3 linked regions of the Lepisosteus oculatus genome follow. The protein of the gene in region 1 binds, or shares a complex with, the protein of each later gene. Links are inferred from orthologs where the notes say so. Each region holds a gene or a part of one and is shown on either strand. Other genes may lie near its edges.

The links. The genes of interacting proteins can lie anywhere in the genome.
Region 2: voltage-dependent L-type calcium channel subunit alpha-1S (region 1) and cacnb1 share a complex: the UniProt entries of both Homo sapiens proteins name them as parts of the calcium channel complex. The link is inferred for Lepisosteus oculatus from reciprocal best matches to the Homo sapiens genes CACNA1S and CACNB1.
Region 3: voltage-dependent L-type calcium channel subunit alpha-1S (region 1) and cacng1b share a complex: the UniProt entries of both Homo sapiens proteins name them as parts of the calcium channel complex. The link is inferred for Lepisosteus oculatus from reciprocal best matches to the Homo sapiens genes CACNA1S and CACNG1.

What each region holds. Positions count from the first base shown.
Region 1 is NC_090700.1:36,990,382-36,998,033, forward strand, and holds the start of voltage-dependent L-type calcium channel subunit alpha-1S, read right to left. Parts: upstream 3,058-7,652; 5' UTR 2,758-3,057; coding exon 2,561-2,757; intron 1-2,560. Other genes in the region: achaete-scute homolog 5, read right to left, coding at 7,059-7,652. UniProt on the Homo sapiens protein: Pore-forming, alpha-1S subunit of the voltage-gated calcium channel that gives rise to L-type calcium currents in skeletal muscle.
Region 2 is NC_090723.1:5,996,422-6,004,317, reverse strand, and holds the start of cacnb1 (voltage-dependent L-type calcium channel subunit beta-1), read right to left. Parts: upstream 3,073-7,896; 5' UTR 2,930-3,072; coding exon 2,843-2,929; intron 1-2,842. UniProt on the Homo sapiens protein: Regulatory subunit of L-type calcium channels. Regulates the activity of L-type calcium channels that contain CACNA1A as pore-forming subunit.
Region 3 is NC_090704.1:45,909,714-45,916,870, reverse strand, and holds the start of cacng1b (voltage-dependent calcium channel gamma-1 subunit), read left to right. Parts: upstream 1-4,085; 5' UTR 4,086-4,341; coding exon 4,342-4,582; intron 4,583-7,157. UniProt on the Homo sapiens protein: Regulatory subunit of the voltage-gated calcium channel that gives rise to L-type calcium currents in skeletal muscle. Regulates channel inactivation kinetics.

The DNA of each region.
Region 1 (7,652 bases):
AACAGGCTCGATGCACTTTCTCTTCTAGAGGGCTGATAGTCATGTGTCCTGACATAAATGTTTGCCTTTTGCCTTAAACTAGACGATTCTCTAGAACTCAGGTCTCTGATTTTTCCAATCTAATTAGTCATTCAAACAATTAACCTAATTATTTCTAAATTGGACCTATACAAATTTTTCATAGAGTGTTTTACAGTTGATTACGCAAGCTATCAATTCTCCAATCACTTTGCTTAAAGGTTACTTATAAAACACTTCCTACCCTGGTTGAAAAGCATTACATTTTTGTAGCTAATACAACAATTACACCAATTATGTAACCGAGAACATGGGTGGGACAAAATCCAGAAGACACTAGACTCTCCAGGTATTGAGTTTGAGACCCCAGCTCTAGAACATCTTAACACTTACTAAAGACATTGAGGTTAAGTGTTAAATAGCATTACAAGTTTAAGCATTGAGACACATAGTTTATCCATCCATTATGAGTAACTGCTTTGTGCTGAGGGCAGGTACAAGGGGCAAGGCTCACACACATGTGAGCAAGTGAGAAAGTTAGAGATAGTAACCTCAATATCATGGCTTTGGATTGTGGGAGAAAACCTGTGTGGACATGGATGGAACATATGAACTCCACACAAAAAGCCCCCCAGGCAACAATGAAGCCAACAAAGAACAAAGAACAAAGATCTGTGAGGCAGCAGGTTTTACCATCACATCACTGTGGTGCTTCAAGCTTACTGTGTTGTATTGCAAGGTGTTTGACTTTGGTGCAGTGCTGTCGTCTGTGGGACTATGACTCAATACCTCTTAAGTCAATTGTGTGGAATTGATTAACCGTCATTTGTAACTTTTCTTATGTTCTCTTGTTGGTGGATGTTTAGACATTTCTACTATTTCAGTCATTATGTAATGGGGAGATGGGTCGTTGTCTTGTGGCATGACTATCGAATCTCTGCGGTGCCACAAGAGGGGCTTTTCTTAAGCAAACTCAGAAGGTCTTGAACTTTCATTTCAATGTAAACTATAGGGAACGATGCTTTGTGAAACTGTGCCATCCAAATTGATGTCTATTGAAGGCATCCTGACATGCACAAATGCGCAGGATGCAGGAGCTCCATGAATCACTTTGAGGCCGACACCTTGATCACGCCTGATTTACAGTTCAAGACACCTTGCCGCTGCAAGGCTTTGGTAGTGGAACCTTGGCCCTCTCCCAAGTTACTCAGTCATTTGGACCACTACAGGTGTCAGTGTTTTCATACTACAGGGGCCGCTCAACTGGTCTCCCTTTCAGCCAGAAGGGGGTGCTGGAATTAAAATTCCCCCTGCCAGCAGAGAGTGGTGTCTGTTTTTAGCCTGTGACGCGAGCCAACAGCTGCAGTGCCCCAGAATATCATTGTGTCGTTTAAATATATATGCATTAAAAAAACACCTAAATTTCTATCATCAGCTTCGATCATTGGGAGCACGTTTCTCCCGTATTTGGCTCCTTGACTAGCTGCCAAGCGCATTATCCCATCTTGGAAAAATGCTGTTTTCAAAAGGCTCTCTCCTCTGATGTTTCTAGAAAATTATTCAGTTTCTGGAAGTGCCTATGGGTTAACCTAACCTTTGACCCAGGGTGAATATAATTGTTTTTTTTTTAAGTTTTGACATTAATCAGTGAACCCAGGAGTAAGAACTAGAATTTTCATCTTTACCAACAAGAAGAAAGGTCTCAAGTCTCGATTCACATTTTAGGAACATTATGCGCCTTCGCTAACATAAGACTCTTGAAGCAGTAAACATGTCCCACTGCCAAACTGAAAACCTCTCAGAACCAAAACTGCTTTCTTAAGCCTGTGCTAACAAATGAATAATCCTTGTGCCTGACTGGTTTTAAACTGCTCACACTTGTAGGTCGTAATGTATCCAGAAATATCTCTGCATCTAGAAATGAGAAGCAACTCCACTGAGAACGCCGGTGTCCTGTCCCATGATTAATCGCGAACTTTCCAAACCAAATTTCGGAAAAAGCTACTTAACAGAAGAATCTTTCTTTTGGTCACAGTTCCAAATCCAGCCATTTAAAGATGGAAAAATATGAACAATTGTCTATGAACTGCACTTGGAATACAGGTATAGACTATGAACTATTCAAAAGCCAGCGTTGTCTCATGTTATTTTTTCTCTTTAATACAAAAGCCCTTTGCTGTAAGATTATTGGGAAGTTGAATCTGCGCAACGCCATATAAACAACTCATGACCATGTGAAGAAACTGATCAACCCTTTTAAATCCAAGGGTGTAGGGCTCCTCATAAACACAGCTAGAGAGAGCCAGCCCTGCTTTCTTTGACTAGCCAAACACAAAGTTTCCCGTTGCATAAATGAAGACATGACAAAGACAGCAGTCCCAACTACCAACAATCTGTAGCTTCCTGCCCTCAGAGTGACTTACTGACTTTTCATTCCGGTTTGAGGGCTGGCCATGCTCTTAGCCGCTGGCCTCTCTTTTGCTCAGCTGGCCCCCGAGCTGGCCGTCCACGCGCCTCGCCGAGCTCGAGCCCCGAAGGATACTTCCACTCCACGATGCTGATGCAGGCTTTGCGGAAGGGGTTCTTCAGGGTCAGGCAGCACAGCGAGCGCGGGGGCCGGGGGTTGCCGCCGGTGGCTTGAAGTTTCTTCAGTTTCTCCTTCTGCTTTCTCCTCAGGGTCTCGCTGTCCATGATGATGGAGGCGGCAGGTCCCACCGCGTTGGACTCCGCCGTAGCCATCCTGGGGGCAGACCAAGAGCCGTGTCCCGACGGTGACGGTGTGTGAGGCGAGGACCCAGTAATCCTTCCCGCTGTAATCCTGGTAAGCCCGGGTTCGCCTGTTCCCCCTCACTCCTTTATTTTTCTCCTTCCTTCCCGGGACCAGCAGGCACACACTCACACACACACCCCCCCTCGCCTCCGCCTGCTCTCCCTCTCACTCTCTCTCGCTCAGCGGAGAGTGGAGTGCCTTTCTGCTGAGCTGGGTTTCTCAGAGGGTAAAACTACACCAGGCAGAAAGCAGCAGGAGGAGCAGTTGCCTCTGCGGCCTGAGCCGGGCCAGCATGGTTTAAATATAGACTGTGAGCGATGTCTCGGCAGTGGGGGGTGGGTGGGGTGGCGATGGGGCAGCGTAAGCAGAGCAGGGAGGCAGAGAGGCGCAGGGGCCGCCGAATAGCCTGTGGGCCCTGAGGCAGCAGAAAAGTAGGAAAAAGAAGTGCAGCTGTCGTCGGCTCATCCCACTTGTAGCTCCGAGCTCTCGGAGCAGAGCCGGGAGGGCGAGGGGGGAGGAAGTGGAGCTGGGGGAAAGGAGAAGGGGAGGCATGCTGAGAGCTGTTAAACAGCAGCAGCGGAGGGGACGGCACGTTTCGATGCCTGTCTTCAGTGACACAGTGCAGATGGTGGGAGTGTTTATAACAGGCCTGTTAGCGAGACAGCAGAGTGGGGTGGCAGGGAGTTTTAGGTGGCACACCGAGAAGCGACGAAGCGTGGAAGCGAGTTTCAGGAGCTTTATTTAAACATTTACTCCTCCTGAGCACAACAAACTGCTGTGCTAATATACGGTTCTGCAAATTTGCCAAAATCGTGTGCTCCATTTCAAGACTCCCAAATCAGCTAATCCAGTTTACAGCTTTTTCAAAGTTGGTCATTTAAACCTTGGTTTTGTGATGAAGTGTTCCAACAAAACTAGACAAAATTAATCTTCAATATAGAATCCGGTAATTATTTTTTAATCTTTAACAATGATAGAGGTATGCATTTATTAAACCTACAACACTGAGAGCTCCTGTGAGGCCTCAACCAGAAGTTTTCTAATGACACTGCCTGGCTGCCATCTGATAATAACCAGAGCCCAAACAAACTACAGATTTCTTAATGATGATAACACTAATTCATGTGGTCACGCTTGTGTTGCTGGTATTCCCTGCAGTGTTGCATTCTGTAACTAACAATGTATTATGCTATTTCAGTCTTATTTCGGAAAGTATAAATGTTGCATAAATCAGAGTTCAGTTTATTTGTCAAATGCATGAAATGCTTTTAAGTGCAATGGAATGCTTATATAAATTCATATAAGCAGAACAGTCATTTAACATCGGTAATATAAAAAAATAAATTTGCAGTTTATGAAACATCAGGGTACTGACTTCACTTACAGTCCTTATGGTCCAGGTGGAATGTGCAGGTGAAGAGTCTCTGACTGTGCAATGGCTCCACCTAGTGGTTCACAGGGATGTGCAAGTGAGGCAGTACTAGAGATACTGCACTAGAGAGGGACAGCTCTAGTTTCTGAGTGCTACATTCTTAGGATTCCTAAAACCACCAGTGGCTGAAGATCTTTGAAAAGTGTTAAACTAATCAGGTACGGCCTATACAAAAGTTCATTGCTCCAGTACTGGAGAGATGCAGTCCAGCAGCAGGAAAAACTGGGGAAAGGTGTTAAATTGCAGAAACAGTTTCCCTCCAGAACTGGGATTGAGTTTATAACTGTGCATCACATAATTAGGTTGTGTAAATCTGACAGATCAAAAACAGTGTGTGTCCAGTAGAACTATATGTATGTACTTATGCATTAGTAGCAAAAAATGCATTAATTGCTGTAGTAATCAAAGAGCTAAACACAGTATATCAAGATGGTAGTCATATTTAAAAGAACTATAATCATGGTGAAGCATCTCTTTGAAAAAAAAAATAAAATAAATGTTCCTTGAAGCACAAACACACAGTTTTCATTTTTACTTTTTATTAGAAAGTTTTCCATCATACATCATTGTTGGGCTAGGGTCTAATGCCTCTTACAAGTTGAAGGGTGCTACACAGAGTCTAGGATAAAGTGCAAAGCAGTATCAGTAAAACTGGTTACAAACTGTCATTTAAAGAACAAACTTTGACACACGGCTCTAGTGGTACAGTGCTGTCAACATGGCAATAAGATCAAGATTGAAAGATGATCACAAACACACACAACACTAATCCTGCTATTTGGTATGAACTGTGTAAGGATGGTCAAACAGGAAAGACCTCAGTGGTTTTGCAGTCACAGATGACCTTGAAACATCAAGGGCAGTTGCTGAGAAGGGGATTCGCACTTTGATTTACAGAAAGTCTCCAAAACCATTTCACTAGCAATAACATCAACCATGAATTAAGGTACCATTCTACCTTACCATTATAGGTATATTTGGAAGTGAATTAAAATCTGAAACTTGTGACTTGGATTACTGTATATCAACTAAGGCTTCAATTATTATCCAATTCGGGTGGGCTGGAATGAAAACCAGGAGATGTGTATGGTCACCAGGACCAGGATTGGGAACAACAGTTATAGATCCACATTCCGCCTTACTATGTCTGTAAAGGCCAGGAAAGGCAAGCACCTTTACATTTCTTTCTGGAAGTCTCTGTTTTGTCCCAGGTTCTGTAAATGTTCCAGCTGAATTACTGTTTACGGTCTATCATCTTATAGACAAACTGTCACATCATAGCATTATAATACATACGTGTTTCTGAGCTTAAACTAGCTCAAAAATTAAAACTCTTTCCTAAGAAAACTAAATTGGGTAATTTCAAGTAAAATTACATTTTTTTTCAGAAACGTATAAGAACACAGTGTCATGTTTTTTACAGCTCAGCAAATACAGTCTGCAGGAAAAGGTTCAATGCAGTTCATTAAAGTAGTTTGGAGACATCATCAAGCACTACAGAAAGGCTGTAAATGGTTTTTAGATTTATGACAGATGTGTGATTTAATTTTTCCCTTCATGTCTTACCTAAACTTACCTTCAGTCATGATCTCTCCACCCCTAAGACACTATGAGCAGTGTTAAAAACTACAGTTGAAATACTTCTGCTTCCTAAAATGTTTTAGCTTTCAATATCGCTCAGGGACTGTTATGAATGGAATGACCAAAAAACCTGTGGCCCACAAAGTCTCTGAAGTCAGCCTTGACTTTTGCAATCCAGTTGTCTGGGGTGCTGTATTAAACTGAAATGTGAGAAGAAATTTGAAACCAGTGATGTCCACAGTCCATGTTGTCTGAACCTCGGGATTACACTGATCTATTGAAATATCGAATGGACGTGCCTTCCATGACTCACATAGATCTTGGAGTGGGTTGTGATGCTCAAGAACTTGATAGCTTCTGGTTCTGTGTGGTGGATGATGCCAGCCTCATTGGGATTTTTAAAATCAGAGTACCCTGACTTTTGTTTTGGTTGTCAATGTGCTGAACCTTTAGTTAGACGATTGACAAGGATAAAGACCTTACCAGAGCTGCTCATTCATTGGTCCAGTGCTCATCCTGGTTTCCACAACGTCATGGACTAGTTAGGACCCACCCACCGAGAAGGGATGCTGGTCTGTTGCAGGGATCAGCCCCAGCAACACTCACCTCTCTAGAACAGCAGGGTGTCATGTGGGGACTCAAACCAACAGCCTGCCACTCATGAGCCCAAAGGTTTCCCCCTTGAGCATGCCACTCCCTGCATCATAGCTGGGGGTTAAAAGGTAGCATGAGCCCCTCCTGTAGAGGTCCTGACCAGCTGGCATTCAAACAGAGTCGACACATCGCTAAGAATGGTTACAATGAGAGAGTGTCATTGCCACTTGTTTCTGTATATCTTTAATTGCTCATCTATCAGGAGTTATTTAGACCACTGTGGTTGAGCAGTAATTCTAAATTGTTGACGTATCACATTTGCCACATTTCATGGAAATAATACACAGAAAGGAGAGTATTTCTCAAATCAAGATGGGCATCAAAAACAGTTAAAATCAAGCGGATGATTGATTTATGTTCAACTACTTTATCTAATTAAGAAATCGGTTGGATCAAAAACCAGGAGTGAGAGGGACACTCCAGGAACAGGATTAGGAAACCCTCATTAATTTGTGGTAGTTTTATCCCTCTGCCCGTGTTATGGCTTGTCGGTCTGCATCCCGCCACAGTCAGAGCTGGTTCGTCTCTAGCAGCTTCAGGCGGGCCTGTTCTCCCCCTACTCCGCCTTCAGGCCTCAAGCCTGCAGTCAGGGCCCGGCCCTCTCTAGCTCAGCGACTCCTCGGACTCGCAGTACGGAGAGTCGGAGGAGGAGGAATTCTGGGATTCCCCGTCGCTGTTGCAGTCCCTCTTGACGCCTGCCTCGGCCGGGGTGGGAGTGGCATTTCTGGGGCCCTTGCCGCTCCTCTCCTCTGCTTCGGCGCCCGCCTGGGCCCCCCGGCTCACCAGATCCTGCAGGTACTTGATGTAGCGGATGGCGGCCCGCAGCGTCTCCACCTTGCTCAGCCGCTTCTCGGACACGGCGCCGGGCAGGTGGTCCCTCAGCCTGGCATAGCCCTCATTGACGCACTTGACGCGCTGCCTCTCGCGCTCGTTGCGCTTCTGGATGAAGGCGGGCTCGAAGGGGCAGTCGTACACCCCGAAGTGTCCGTGGAAAGGCACGTAGGGGAACAAGGCACCCCCGTAGGACGCCTCATAGTAGCTGGGGTCCATGTTGGCCGGGTACAGAAGGAAGGGCACATGAGCAAGAGTGTCTCCGGGTCCAGCAGGGGGGTGGCAGCGGTGGTGGGCGTGGTGGTGGTGCTCTGAGTGTGAGTGACCACCAGGGGGCGCTATGCCATATTGCACACAGCTCCCTGG
Region 2 (7,896 bases), on another chromosome or scaffold:
AATTTCCATCAAATCAGAAGATAAAAATAGTTTATAATGATGCAATATTCGGAAGACCAAGTGCTTTTTAGTGCATATTATTTCATTGCGTGGAATATGCAGAACACAATTAAGCATAAATACGCACCGTTTCAAAGCAAAACCAATCCACATCCTCTTTTCTTTAGTCCGTTGAGTGAAAATAACCGTCTTACAGTATTGTTTCAGTGCTACTGGATTGGTCTTCAGCCCACTTCGGCTGCAACAGCATTCCACACTTTGAACACAGAGCTCAGAGCTCCTTCCTCCAGGTTTTTCGAATTAAACACAAAAACACAACAAAGCAAATAATCCCTGGTGTAAAATGAGAGTTTAGTGGGCAGTGAATGTGTCAGAAATGAAAGGGTGTGATAAAACACGGAGAATGACCACTTCACTGTGCGCAACATGACACAGACTGAAGAAATATACTGGCTGCAAGATGTTACTTTTAATAAACTGTCAAACAAGAATCATTAAAAGGAGCAAATCTGTTTTGTCCATTAATGTAAAGTAGACAAACCCTCAGACGGGTTAACACTATGCAGCCAGACTGGGCTTCTGTTCAATCCCTGCTTTTTACTTGTTTTTTTTTATTTTATTTCTTGTAACTACCTGTACATCTTCTCAAATGTGAGGTGTTTTGTTTTATTGTGTTCACAGATGAAGTTCACATTCATGAGTTCATCACATGCCCAAAAGGCTTTTCCACCAGGCTGCCTTGGACTTGTTCAGGTAAAGTTGTTCTTTAAAATATTCCAGGGGGTTGAAACGGGTCAGTTATTACAGAACCCTTCAAAGACCATCAACCATCAAAGACCAATCCCACTGCGCATGCTGGTGAAAAACTTAACCGATGTGCAGGAACGAACTAGGGATATTTTAGTAATACAGCCCAGTGTGCAATGGACAACACCATACTGCCACATTAAAAACACATTCGTTAAAATTCCGAAACATTCCAAATTATTCTCTGTATTTACATGGGGAGAAAAGAAAGGAAATCCATTGGTGTCCTAAAACAACAGGAATGATCAGAGGAGTTAATTATGGTACAGTGTGGGCCCTATTTTTTTGTTGTTGCTGTTGAAAGATAAAATCCCAGCTAATGTTAATGAAAGCTGACATGCACATTCAAAGTGATAAACAAGCTTTCTCTGTCTCACACCTAAGCTATCCGTTTCAAACCAAGGAGGGCAGACGCTGGGAGATAAAAATAAAATTTCAAACAGGAAAAGCTCGGCTGAAATAGACAGCTTGCCTGTCTATTTTACCGGTGGTGTTGTCTTATCGTTATAATATATTATGACACACACAGAAGAGAACCACGGCCCCATAAAAACTGTTCTGGCAGATTAAGGTAAATCAAAGGCCTGGAAAAATCATTTCTTTAAGGAGCCAAAAATAAAAACAAGCTAGAAACAGACATTTGCAAAGGCGATTGATGAATCGGGCGAGTTCTGAATTATGTACCCTTTTCAGCACCTTGCTTAAAAGCAGATATACAGCACATGTGCATGTGAGGCCTATTTCTGTGCTCTTTCCAAGATGCAGGTTTTGAAGCACGGACACTTACCTGCATCCATTAGGCCAATAATTAGCTTGATTGGCTCGTTAAGAGCCGGGTTGGACTGAAGACCTCCAGACGTACTGTAGCATGATGGGAACCATACTGGGCCGTGTAAGACGCCTGGTCTAACACCTGTGGGGACTGGAGAGAGCTGTCATGCACTCTCCCGAGCCCTGCAAGGCTACCACGAGCGGACCGCCGCCCGCGCGTGGGTTGAGCGGAGTGACCGCCGACGTCAGGGGCTAACGCCGGGCGCGCTCGCGGCCGTCAGAGGACCGAACCCCTCTGCGCGCCACACGCGCCCTCCTCCGCCAGCGACACCCGGGCTGCGCTTTCCAGCCCATCTCGTCTTTTTTCCCCATTTTTCCTTCTCAGCGGAGCCTTGGTTTTGCTTTTACAGGGAGGAAAGCGCTAGAAATCGTCTTTTTAAAATAATAGTTTAAAGCGTAAACGAGAGCCGTCGTGTTATTGAAACGGCATCTTATCCGAAGGAGGTTGTAACGTATAAAACGCCAAATTACTGTGACAGACTCCTCACTCCTCTTTAAAAACCGACTCGGAAACAGGACAGCTATAAGGTGGTCAGGCTGCTCCCGCTCCTGTAGCTCCAGATTGTCAAAACGGTATGTTGTTCGTGAAGTACCAATATTAATCAAACACTTCCATTTCACATGAACTGATTCATTAAACACAATTCTGCTGCCTTGTTTTAAAGTGGAATGAAAGTCACCCCACCCTATATATATGTAGAAATAAACGCTTTAATTTTTTAGACTTAAATAAGGTCAGCGCAACAACCGAACTGAAGAGAATATCAGCTATCTAATCACAACTACAAGCAGACTCCTGTGAAAAAAAACATTTTCGACGTATTGTTAAATATAACGGTGTGTTTGAAGCGTGTTCAGCGTTTTATCCGTATGAATGGTGATGATGGGGGCAATATTGGAATATCTACTGAAGTTTCCTTCACTCGTTTATGGTTTAGCAAATGACTGGGTTCGTTGCCGTGTGTACATTCAGATTTATTGCCTACATATTACATCTTAATTCTTCTGCAAACAAAAAATAATACCGTTTGCCCTATGTAGTACACCATCATTGAGTGGTTTCTCACTTTAGTTAGATTCAAAGGAGAAAGGCATTCAAAATGCGACACAATTTCATTAGTTTACAGTCTTGGTTTTATATGTTTGTTTTTTTACCTGGAATTTCCTACCATATCGTAAAAAATAAAAAAAGGGTTTATCTTACCTGTGAGCTAGGATTATCAAAAATGTCCATTTGAATCTCCTGTGTAGAAGTAGAAGGCGTCCTGGACATACTACTTTTCTGTACCATTGAATTTTTGTTATTGTATTGTTAATATTCACAGTTTAGTCATTTTTAGCGGGTGGAAATGAACAATTCTTTTTTTTTCTCTCCGATATCCTGCTCAGTGTATCCTCCCGACAGCGACAGACAGCTGTGCGTCGCCTGCTCGCTCGCTCTCCCCGAGCACAGACAATGAGCCCCAGCATCCAGCTGCTGAACCCCTCGGCCCCGCCCACCTCCGGCTCTACCCGCCCCTCTCAGCCTACCTCCGCCAATCACGGCTGGACAAGCTGCACACTGCCGCGCAGCGATTGGCTGCCACAACTATCATGGGTGTTAATAACGCCACACGGGGGGAGGGGGCGTGGCTTTTCTAGTGTGCCCCTCCCCCGACCTCTCCACCTATGAAGGAGCAAATGTCTCTTCTAAGCAGGTGCCCGGGTAGCTGGGTTCACTGTATTTGGGGGAAAAAACTGCAGTTTCAAAAAACATCAATTCGGAAAAAAGAGGGGTACACTCAACAGCTCTCGCAGTCTATTTTACGACTGTAGTAAGGATTTTGAGGAGGCGCCCGTGTATGATTATAAAAGAAGGCTACAGCGACTTGTTTTTTTAATTATATGTGTGACTTTCCCAAAGATGCCGCTGACTGGAAGGTTCCGACGATTGCGAATACAGCATCTTGCCTCTCACTCTCCTGTCTGCCGCCTTTCCTTTTCCTCGTTCTCTGTTGAGTGGGTGGGTGGCGAAAAAAAAAAAAGCAGGCGAAGCTGAGGTTGTGAAAAGACATTTAAAAATAGGTTAAAAAAAAAACAGAAGCCGAGCTTCGAGGGGTGATAAAATTACCCAAGGAGAAGGATGCTGTCGCCGGAGTTTGTTTCTCAGTCTTGGAGCGTGTTTTACCACAGCCCTCACAGTCTGGCAGCACGGAGAGGAAGTTCAGTGTCTTCTAAGGGAGCAGCCGACGGTATCTAATAAGCCCCCTTTACAGACGCTGGAACATTTCACGCCCCGAGGCGGGTGCCTGGGTCTGTCCGACTTGTAGCTGTTATCGTGTTATGAAGTTACTGATACTTGCTAAAATAACGGGTTTGTCAAGTCCGATGAGAGACGGCCGTCTCTATACTCGTTGCTTTTAATTCGAGTTCCGTAACGACCGATGCTTCTCTGGAAAGAGAGGCGACACAGCCGAAGTATAGAAAAACAAGATTCCCCGGCTTTCCTTCTTTAATTTTATAGATTAAATCATTGTCCTTTATTTGAACCGCGTACGTGGGAGGTGTCGGTCCCGGTAGCCCGGCGGGTGAACTTCACCCTGTCAAACAACTTCAAACTTTCCTTTATTAAACAATATACATCCTTATCATTAGTGTTGTCATAGCATGTGACTCTCACTTCCTCCCTTTGTCGGCTGATATTCTGAGAGAATCGTGCACTGGGGGAGTCGTGAGCAATCATTAGCCCCAAAACTAATGTTCTATTTCAACCCGAATTTGATCATGTTCAGTAGCACATTGGAGATGCTTGGGAACTGGACTGTAACTGGACATTACCTGCATCATATCGCAAAAAGACGATACAATATAGCCTCAGGACAGGAAAACCGTTGAGAAGCATTTCAGCCTGACCTGCAGCACAGCCTGGTACCCTTTGCACGGCACTGCTCTGTCCGCATCAACAAAACTAAACCCCGCTAAGCTTTCACTGCACATACAAAAGGAAGCCTTATTTTAAAATAGTCCTGCTCAGTTAGTGAGGAACTGGAGAGACCGGCCGGAGTTAAATGAAAGGCACAAGATTGCTTGTCCCTTGTAAACTGGAATTTCCTATCAAGTGTGAGTTCCTTAGCAACTGCCTAGATAGGTTCAGGGCTGCCTCCGTTTGCTGACAGTATCAAAACTGGAGATTTTTATACCCTGTACATAAATCCCTCCCTCCGCCCCTGATTTCACCGCCTTCCCTCGGCAGTTGTGTAAGATGCACACCAAACGGCAGACGAGAGTCACACGTACTCGTGTAGTCCGTGCCTGCTTTGCGATATTCCACGCTCATTCCACCCCCCACACACACACACTTTTCACTCCTGGCAGCTGATGTCGCTCCCTGCCGCCTGTGGGTTTCAAGAGCTCAGAGGCTGGACGTCGTCGCCCGGTGCGCTGAGTGCTGGACTGTGCTGTACCGACGGGCCCGGCACACACACACACACGCGCGCCCTCCCCGCACCGTGAGCTCGCTGTCACCATAGCAACGCAACCTGCAGAGGCGAGCCAGCCGAGCCCCGCAGCGAGCGTGCGCGCCCGCTGCCGCTACAGGAGTTCGCTCGCTCGCTCGCTCTGCGCGCTCCGGCAGGCGTGCTCCGCTTGACCCCGCCCCCGCCCAACGAACAAAAAATGCAACGGACTCATCTCCAGAAAAGACCACGTAGTCAGATACAGTAGCTGGCCGGTGGGGGCCTGAGGGATGAAGGGAGGGGCTGCATGAGTTTGGAGTAAACGGACACACCATCAATAGCTTCCCCTGGGTGCAAGCGAGCGCCTTACTCCTGTCCTGGAGTCCTTGCACTGGCTTCCTGTCAGGCTTGGCTTGGCACCTCAGTTCGCGTTAGAGTTGTGATCTCACACTCCCCTCCACCTGCGTTCGGCCGACTCTGCTCTCCTGTTTGTCCCCCAAGCCCGTCTGCACTCTGTGGGTGACAGGAGACTCTCCAGTTATGCCCCAAAGCTGGGGAATTCTATCCCTAACTATATCCTCAGCTCTTTCAAATCCAGACTCAAATCCTTCTTCTTTAGAAGAATCTTTACCTAACTGGATCTGTGTCTGCCCCCTTTGCTTTCCTACTGTATTCCAAACCCTTATTGCGTCGAAGCATTCAGTCAAAGTCCAACAGATCACAGAACAGCTCCTACCTTCAGGCAATCAGACTGCTACACAGCCAAGCTGCAGTGACCTTCGGCAACCACCCTGACGATCACTGCTAACTGGTCAGGCTACATGGACATCCAGTTTGAAATCCAGTTAACACTGCATGTTGCACTATTTGGACATGATGTATTGCATACGCCCTGGACATGTAGCAGAGCTATTTAAATTGAGTTTCATTTCATTCTATTTTCATTGCGCTATTATTAGGTAACATTATTTTGTAACTTTTAATTTTGTGATTTTTATTTGTATTTCCCCTTGCAGAAAAGACATTTCATTGGCAGCAACTACTGCTGCACGCTGTACTGTTGTGCTTTTGATAAACAAACTTTGATTGATTGATTCATTGTGCAATTCCGACGTCTCCCCTCATTGTGGGTTTTTTTTCTTACTGTAAAGCGATTTGACAAGCCACTTTTAAAGGCATTATCGAAAATAGATAATTATTATTATTATTATTATTATTATTATTATAACAACCCCAGCAGCTCTTGCAGCTGTGGGTGTGGGGCTCCGGGCCACGATCTTGAAGGACCCACATGCTTCACAAGACCACTTGGAGGTACCGACACGGTGCCGGTTCCGTTTAGGAAAAGACTAATGTGTCAAAGGTTACCGAGAGGAATTCGGCACATCTGGAATTGGTATCTAATTGATTAAAGGATCGAATCCAGAGGTTTCTTGAAATGATAATAATAGTCAACTTCACTGTTTATAGCGGCTTCAGTAGTAGCTTCTCAAAGCGCTTTCCAGTTAAAAGAGAAAAGCTCACGAGGAAAGGAGAGAACAGAATGAGCACAATCGAAAACAAGGGCTTACAATGCAGTAGAGGATGAAAGTACAGACGCCGGCACTAACTGAATAAATGAACTTCTTAAGAAGAAGGATTTGAGTGGGGAATGAATGCGCTCGGGGAAGGTGCTCTTCCGCTATCCTCGAGGACTGAGGTCCGGAGTTTTGGGGCGCCGCAGGAGAGATGAACTTCGAAAGAACCCCGAGAAGCGGCTCCAAGCACGTGGCTGGGTTGCTTTCTCCCATCAGCCTTTGTGTCAAGGGTTTTCTCCATCTTCTATCACTTGGGCCTCAGTCTTCACCCGCGTCCTCCAGTTCCTAACCTCACAGCTGGATCTGAGCGAGGCGGCAGGGGGGGTGTTTCATAAATACTCGAGTCCCTTCCCCTCGTCGTTTTCCCTTTTCGGAACTTAAACTCTGTTTTCGGTGCACTAGCTTACTAACTACGTCAGAATCCAGATAACTACCGCACTAATTCTATCACTCCAATCCGAGCATTTGTTCGGCTTATCTAGTTTTGCTGCCAAGAACTACAAACAATTACGTGAGACCATAATTGAGGCGTGGGGGTATAGCTCAGTGGTAGAGCATTTGACTGCAGATCAAGAGGTCCCCGGTTCAAATCCGGGTGCCCCCTGTGTCCTGATTTTCTACGTACTTCTTTTGTCTCTTTCCCCACCTATTAATACCATGTTGACAACACCAGACCTTGATGAATTATCCTTTTATTGCAACGAGGAAGTGCAAATAATTTGATCACACATAAAACACTGCAGCGAGACGAGATACCTGTACAGGTGACAAACCACTCTAGCACTGTGGGGGTATAGCTCAGGGGTAGAGCATTTGACTGCAGATCAAGAGGTCCCCGGTTCAAATCCGGGTGCCCCCTGTGTCCTGGTTTTCTTTTTTTGCTCATCTGGGTGTCTCTTGTTTCCGACCTATGAAAACCTTGCTGGCAAACTCAGTTTTTAATGAGTTGTCACTTCATGGTCACGAGGTGCTGCAAATGATATGATCCCACCTAAACCACCGTGCAGGCAGGTAGTGGACACCTGTACAGGTGAATTCACACCGACAGGTGACATAATATCCGAGAGCCTGTGGGGGTATAGCTCAGTGGTAGAGCATTTGACTGCAGATCAAGAGGTCCCCGGTTCAAATCCGGGTGCCCCCTCAACAGTTCTTAGTTTTATGTTGTTAAGTATCAATTCGCACTTGACAACGCCAATTGTTTCGTGAGTACTTGCCACATTTCAAGTCAAGAGTTGTAAATAATA
Region 3 (7,157 bases), on another chromosome or scaffold:
GATAACCTTTCACACTCCACCTCAACAAATGTGCTCACTGGATTCTGGTCAGCTTTGTATCCCTGTGGTGTGCTGCCATACCTTGGGCAATAGTGCTTTCTATTGAGACTCTCAGTGTCAGCCTGTGGTCTGACTGCAGGTTGGAATTCTAGGAATTCTCATTCCTGGGTCCTTATTTCAGGCAGATGGCCAAGGAATAAGAGGCTGTCTACCCAGAGACATGAGCAGTAAATCTGCTGACTGCAGAAGACCCTTCAGCTACCCAAAAGAGAGAGGGGGGGTGAAATTGTCTATAGGAAAGCTGAAAGAAGGAGGTGGAGAGACGGAGGAAAAGCTCTTCTCCTGAGCTTGCAGAAGGCCCCGGGGGTTGCCTGTATATTCCAGGGTGCCCACATATAGACACAATCACAGGTCAGCACGGAGAGAACATGCACAGTATGGAATCAAGTTGAGGACTCAAGAACTACCAGGCAGCAGTAATTAACAATATACCACTGTGCCACCATAATGTGAAGACAGACAGGTAGTTCTTTGTTTATGTTCCCTTAATTTGCTTGTTTCCAATTTAGTGCTCCTTATAATATATTTCCTCATTTAGAACAGAATAACTCTTACTTTAACATGCTTGGCCACAAAGTCTTAGAGAGTGTATTCTGCGTGTACCCAGTATCGGCCTGTATGCGAAGGAACACATTTTCCCTAACTCACTCTTGCTGTTAGCGTTAAGTTGTGTTAAGGCGCTGTCAGAATCGTCATCCCTCCTCTTAAGGGCGCTCCGACCCTTTCGTATTTTAGTTCATTTCGTGCACCTGCCCCCTGTTTAGCCTGACACTATTTAAGCCTGGCGGTCTCACTAGTCCTGGCTCAGCACTGAGGGATGGATGCCCAGAAGCCCGCCTACCAGCAGCATCCTGACCATCTGAGTCCAGGGCTCAGAGCGCCTGGCCTCGTCACCCTGGTTTTATTCCCTGTTCCTGTTCCGGATCCCATTCCGGATTTTAACCTTGTTTGTCTCGGATGGATCTCCCAGTTCCTGGACTGTGCCCCAGATTCCCCCTTGGACTGTCTGGACTCGTTTGCCCATGCCACGCCCCCCGAGCGCCGGATCACTGTCGTCACGCTCTCCTGTCTGCCAACCCGTCCTAGCCTGCTGTACCTTCCCTGTTGTCCTTCTCCACTTACTTCCGGATTATACCGTCTGCACAGGGTCCTGAACTACGCCTCGCAGGGACGAGGGTTTAGCAAGCGTGCTATAGAAATGCTTGGTAAGGCGAATAACATTTTGATCAGAGCTCGTCCAATAATGTGGAAAAGCTGGCACTTATTTATGACGTTGAATAAATCAAATAAGCTTCCACCCCATTCACTACCCTCCCCTAACAACAGTCTTCACTTCATGTTTCATATGAAATTGATCGACATTAACGAACATTTCTTCCAAATGACTTTTAGTGCAACTCTATAAGCATCTTATATTGAAACATTTGCTTATTTTAGTTATTAAGGGGTTAAAATCTTTGGGTGAGGGTGAACCCCAGAATGCTTCCTCCCTATATACATTCATATTTATGTGAAACTGCTGTGGAATTCATTTTTAATTTACCCATTTCTGAACTGTGCGGCATTTTTCAGGAACGCATTCATTCACATGAATCAAGAACTACCCCTACTGCATTTTAACAGAGATTAAATGGTTCAAGTTGTCATTTGGATTTTTTTTATATTGCATCTCATAAATACAAAATATATATCCCACCAGCATTCCCCAGCTTCTGAATCCAATCTAACTGGGTTTTACCACTGTAATGCATTATGCATTGGGAACCCAGGCTCCAACCACAGTGTGATTACTGTACATAAGTGCTCTGTCTTGTGCACACCTGAGTCGCATATCATTTCAGATTTCATTACTAATCTCAAACAGAAACCTGTAAGTGCAGAAACACTTTGGCATCCCATGTTAAAATCCAAAAGCTCTATTTAAATTGTCACAGGAGTAATTGGGTCAGAAGACTAAGAAAGTAGAGCACAGCTGACAATTTATAAAAAGCACTTCACTACGGAGTGCCCTATGGAGAATATGCTGCAGACCGCGGAAGGCGTGAAGGGCCGCTTGACATTGAGCGAACAGGAAATGTGGAGGACGAAGGACACTGAAAGCAGGTTCGGTTCAGCTCCAGTTGTCCCTCGGAGCAAGAAGACCCTCTGTCTTCTCAGACCCACTCGTCTCTCAACGGCCATGAGTCAAGCCCTGGGGTCCAGAAAGTCAGGGCTCCAAACCCGAGGTGGCCCCCTGACCTCTCCTCACTCTGCAGGGGTCCCTGCGATGTGCTGGGTTAAGCAAGCCTGGGACAGGGTGCAGTCCTTCTTCACACTGGGCCAGGGGGAGCTGTAGGACAGTTTCCACGCACTCGCCACCACATTCCACCACGCTCTCTTCACTGCAATTAACCTGCTATCCCACCACGTCTCCCCTTCTGTTCTTCTTAAACCTTTCTACCTGCCCTCTCCATGCTCACCATTGAGTTCAACCCACCTGAGTTTAACCTTTTGCCGCCTGTTTGTCGCACTACTTTTTGGATAACGGACACTGCCTTCACCACCGACTACGGACCTGCCTCACCGACCGGATTCGGTGTTCGGACTCTGCTCTCTGGATAGCGGATCTCCGCCCTCCTTCCTGACCACAGCACTGCTTTCCGATTTGGACTTCGGTAATGGAACACGCACTCTCTCTCACTCCTGCCTCGCGCAGGGTCCGAATCAGCCCCACTGGTATTTGACACAGGTTCCATTCACCAACAATGGAGATGTCTCTTTAAGGGCTGTCATCTTGGTAGGGGAACCTCCCAGACCCCCAGCACCTCATAGCAGTCCTCTACGATTACAATGTCCACAGTTGTATGCTACTACACAGCAATTCCTAGGGTTTACGGAAAAGTGCTGGAGAGACAACTACTAGGATCAGAGGTTAGGGGCACCGGGATGATTTTGAATTTAACACATTCTAGAAGCCAACTTTCTTTTTTACTTACAATAGCAGTTACACAGACAGTCCTTTATCTAACATACTCACCGTGCGTACCAAAGTGTCTTAAACAGAGGCTCAGACTTTCCTGTTTCCCATTTATTTCTACAGCATGAATAGAAACAGCTCTACGTGATGCTATGCCAGAAACTATTTTATCACTGGTGTGACAAGGGTCACATCTTCCCCTTTCACTCCAATAACAACAAGGATGATATAAGGCCCATAGTTTCCCATCTGTTTATCCGTCAAACGTTAAGTGCCTGTAGATCGGAGATCTGAAATGTTCTGTTTAATGAGAAGCTAATTTATGGTAACAAATACACCTCCTGCATCTCTGAGAGCAATGACAGCACGTTTGCATGTCTGCGAAAACCAACAGCTGTTGTTTAGACACAGATTTCTCTGTATAAATAGTTTATAGTAGCATTTAAACTAAGTGCCTGGTGGGAATAAAGTTTAGATTAGGAATGTTAAGAATACTATGATGATGCAATTGAATAAAAGTTCAGTAAATGGGGACAAATCAAGACTGTGAACACAGACTGCACTCTTCAGAACAAAACAGAGCTTTTCACACATTCAGGTTATCCAAGCTATCCTCATAAAGCTCATCAGAAAATAAAATTCGAATGCAACTAAGAAATGCATTAAAAAACTATTATTCCCTTTGTTCCAAAAATTAAGGAGAGAGATATTGCAAAGTGATTTCAAGGAAGGAGAAAAGAAATTCAGACTCAGTCGTTTTCACTTTGCACTAACACAACAACACCAGGAAAATCGAGGCTTTATATTAACTGTAGAAAACTCAGCAACACACAGCAGAAACCTCAAAAACTATGCCCACACTCTTCTCGGTGATTAATGAAGTACTTGTAGTTTAGCAGACGGCCACAGCCCTGTGCTTAACGGGCATGCTGAGAAAACATAGAGACGAAACCTGATAAGTGGACATCCTGACAACCTGACTCACAGCTCACATTAATAGCAGCAGCTACCCGCCCATCACAGGCAGCCAGTGTGGTCATCAACTTTTCTGATATGCATCAACAGCTGTAGTCTGAACCACACTCCTCCTCACTCCATGAGGAGAGAGAGAGGAAAAGAAAACTAGGGCACTGTTTTCTGGCCACTTTTTTTTTTCCTCCCAACGAGCGACAGGGATTTGGAGTGGGCTGAAGCTGCGAGCAGAGGGGACGTGGGAGTGGAGGCTTAAGGAGAGGTCTGCAGAGTCCACAGGCAGAGCGGCGGAGGTGAGGCTGTGAGGCAAGAAAAAAAAACCCCCGCTCCAGTGAGAACCGACAAGCAGAGCCATGCTGGAGGACAAGACCACCAAGGTGAGGATAGCGTTCTTCGTCATCCTTGTCGGGATCTCCGCCATGTTCGCCGCCGTGACGACGGATCACTGGGCGGTTCTGAGCCCGCGGGTCGAGCGCCTCAACACGACGTGCGAAGCGGCTCACTTCGGACTCTGGAGGCTCTGTAAAAAGACCATCTACATGGAGGAGCCGGACCCTAGGGGCAAGGGCTGCGGGCCCATCAGTCTGCCTGGAGGTAAGACCCTTCCGTCTCTGAGCGCTCTGGGCCCCAGGCCCACCAGGGGTAACACCGAGGTGCGGGGCCGTGTGAAAGGACAGAGAGAGCGAGGGGCTCTAACCCAGCAGGGCTGCAGGGCTGCTCCAGGAGGAAGGCGCTGTTACAGCGTTAGTTTGGCAGGGTTGACAGATAAACATCTGGGCACCGCGCCTCTCCCTGTGGGTGTGCTCCTCGCGCCCCGGTCAGAGCCAGCTCGGGCGCTCAGGACCTGGAAACCTCGCTCACGCAGACAAGCGGGATCACTCACTACACCCGGAGTTCGAATTCAAATTCAAATTCCTCCAAGACCAGCTGCAGTACGTACAGTCACATACACTTTATACATAGAAGAGTTGTGGGTATTGTATATGTACATCTATCCATTAGCTTGTCTGTAGCCCAAAATGGGAAAACACTACGTTATTGAGAATACCGATCGGACGCACAGAATATTCAGATAATCACGGCAATGGCGAAAAACAGTCTTTAAAAATCAGCACTATTAATCCTTTTTAACAAAAAAAATGCTCCACGCACATTTTAATGAAACTAGTGTTCATGATTTAGACAAAACCAACATCCGTACAAACATGATTTATGCAACTTCAGCCTAACAAAAGAGCAGAGGTCTTCCCTGTTCTTCACACGTGTTGTGCTGTAACATCCCAAGAAAAGTCCTGCGATGACAACTCTGTGCCACCAGTCACAGACAAGCCAGCCCACTGGTCTGCTTGTTAGAAACTGAAACAGGCTCTTCTGCTGAAACAGCGTCTTTTTAACACAGACGGTAAGACAACTCACCACTGAGAGATTTCTGATAGAGAAGGAACCTTAATACCAGAAGAGCAGAGATTCATTTGATGCAAATCATAAAGCAACACACAACCCCAGCTCCTTTTCATCATGAACTACAAGAGTAGACATAGAAATGTTTTGCCTGAAAGATTTATTTGCAAAAGAAAAAAGAAAATGAGGCTCTTCATTGTCACAAGGGCCCCTTTAAATGCACAATTTATGTGCAGTGAACTGAAGCAAGTAATTGTCTGTGTCGGTATGTGTGTTATATGTTTGCAAAACAAGATGGCATGGTACCATGGAAGACAGAGCTCTTAAAAAGGAGCCTGTTTGTATATTTGGCTGACCTGGCTTCCAATATCTGGGTGAGATAGGAGCTGGGAGAGGTCTCTGTTTGCCTAAAAACACTATTTACAGTCACAGAGCAATAGGTCTCACTTTGCACACTTTTGTAGTAGTGCATCAAAAAAAGAATTATTGCATGAGCAATGGTAAATGTGCACCATTAACCCATCCGATTTGATTGGCAAACAATTGTCTAATAGCTTTTAAGAAAGAAAGAATGGCATTTGCTTTTCTCTCTTCTTCCCTAAGACTTAAGTCTATGGCGTTAAATGCCCCCTGGTTGAAAAAGACATGTCTTCATAAAGCAGGGTCTGTTAAAAAAGAGAAATGTGGCCTCAGTTTTTTTTTTTCATGAAGTGAAGCATTTAACCGCAGCACATATTTGGGAAAAGCTCTCTTCTGCCTCCAGCACTTACAGCACCTAGAGAAAAGCCCCCAAACCCAAGGTGGAAAGAAGAGGATCATAAGTGAATATTCAGTGAACTGTGAATATTGTGTCATTCAAAAAATGTTTAAAGATCAACCCTATGTTTCACTGTGTCTCACCTGGGCTGTTTCAAGTAAAGTTGCATTTTTTTTCTTTGAATTACTCGCATCCAGTACCTCAGCTACAACTCCACTGCAATTGCTTCCCGTTTCCCTGCTTGATAGGGCTGAGGGCTCTTCCTACAGCCGCCGCAGTGTGCCGAATCTGCAGCCGGCCAGCCCTCCCTCAGCGCAGAGCTCCCTCGCTGTGCGTTGAAAAAATGAAGTTAAAGGACATTACACGCACGAGTCTTGTGAGAGATCTGCACACAGAATCCCCTCACAAGTGGAACAGCCAAGGGCTGTGCAGAACAGCTCTGAACTCGTCGCCGCAGAGACAGAAAACCACAGACCCTCATGCTTCTGAGCGTTTCAAAGGCATCCTGCAGGTTCACAATGTGATTTTTCACAGCTTTCTAGCAAAACGGAGACTTCTGCCGTTACATGTTGTTACTAGTCCAATCCTTATCAAGCTATCCCAGTTTTGTGACCTGCTTTGCAACACATAAAAAACATAACGAAAGTCATTCAGCCCTTTTAGTTTGTTTTGGAGTGAGGACAACCTCTCTTTCTAGTGCCCTGCTTTGCCTGCTCCTTCGGTTTTTAATTTGCTTTCCGCAGTCTCCCTTCCTTTCATCGTACTCTGCCACTGGATTGTCTTTGGAGGGTTGAGAGTCTTCACTTTTCCGTTAGCGGCCTGGGGCAGCGCAGTGTGTCGGCTTGCTTAAGCTCGTTCAATGAAACAGACGCAGGGAGAAGCAGCGAGTAGAGACCGAAGAAAATGACAGTGGAACTGATTCAAAAAACCGCCCAATTTAATAAGACAGTGTTAATAAGACAAGGCAGGTGAAAAAGAACAGTTGGGGAAACAGAGAAGCTCTGCATGCTT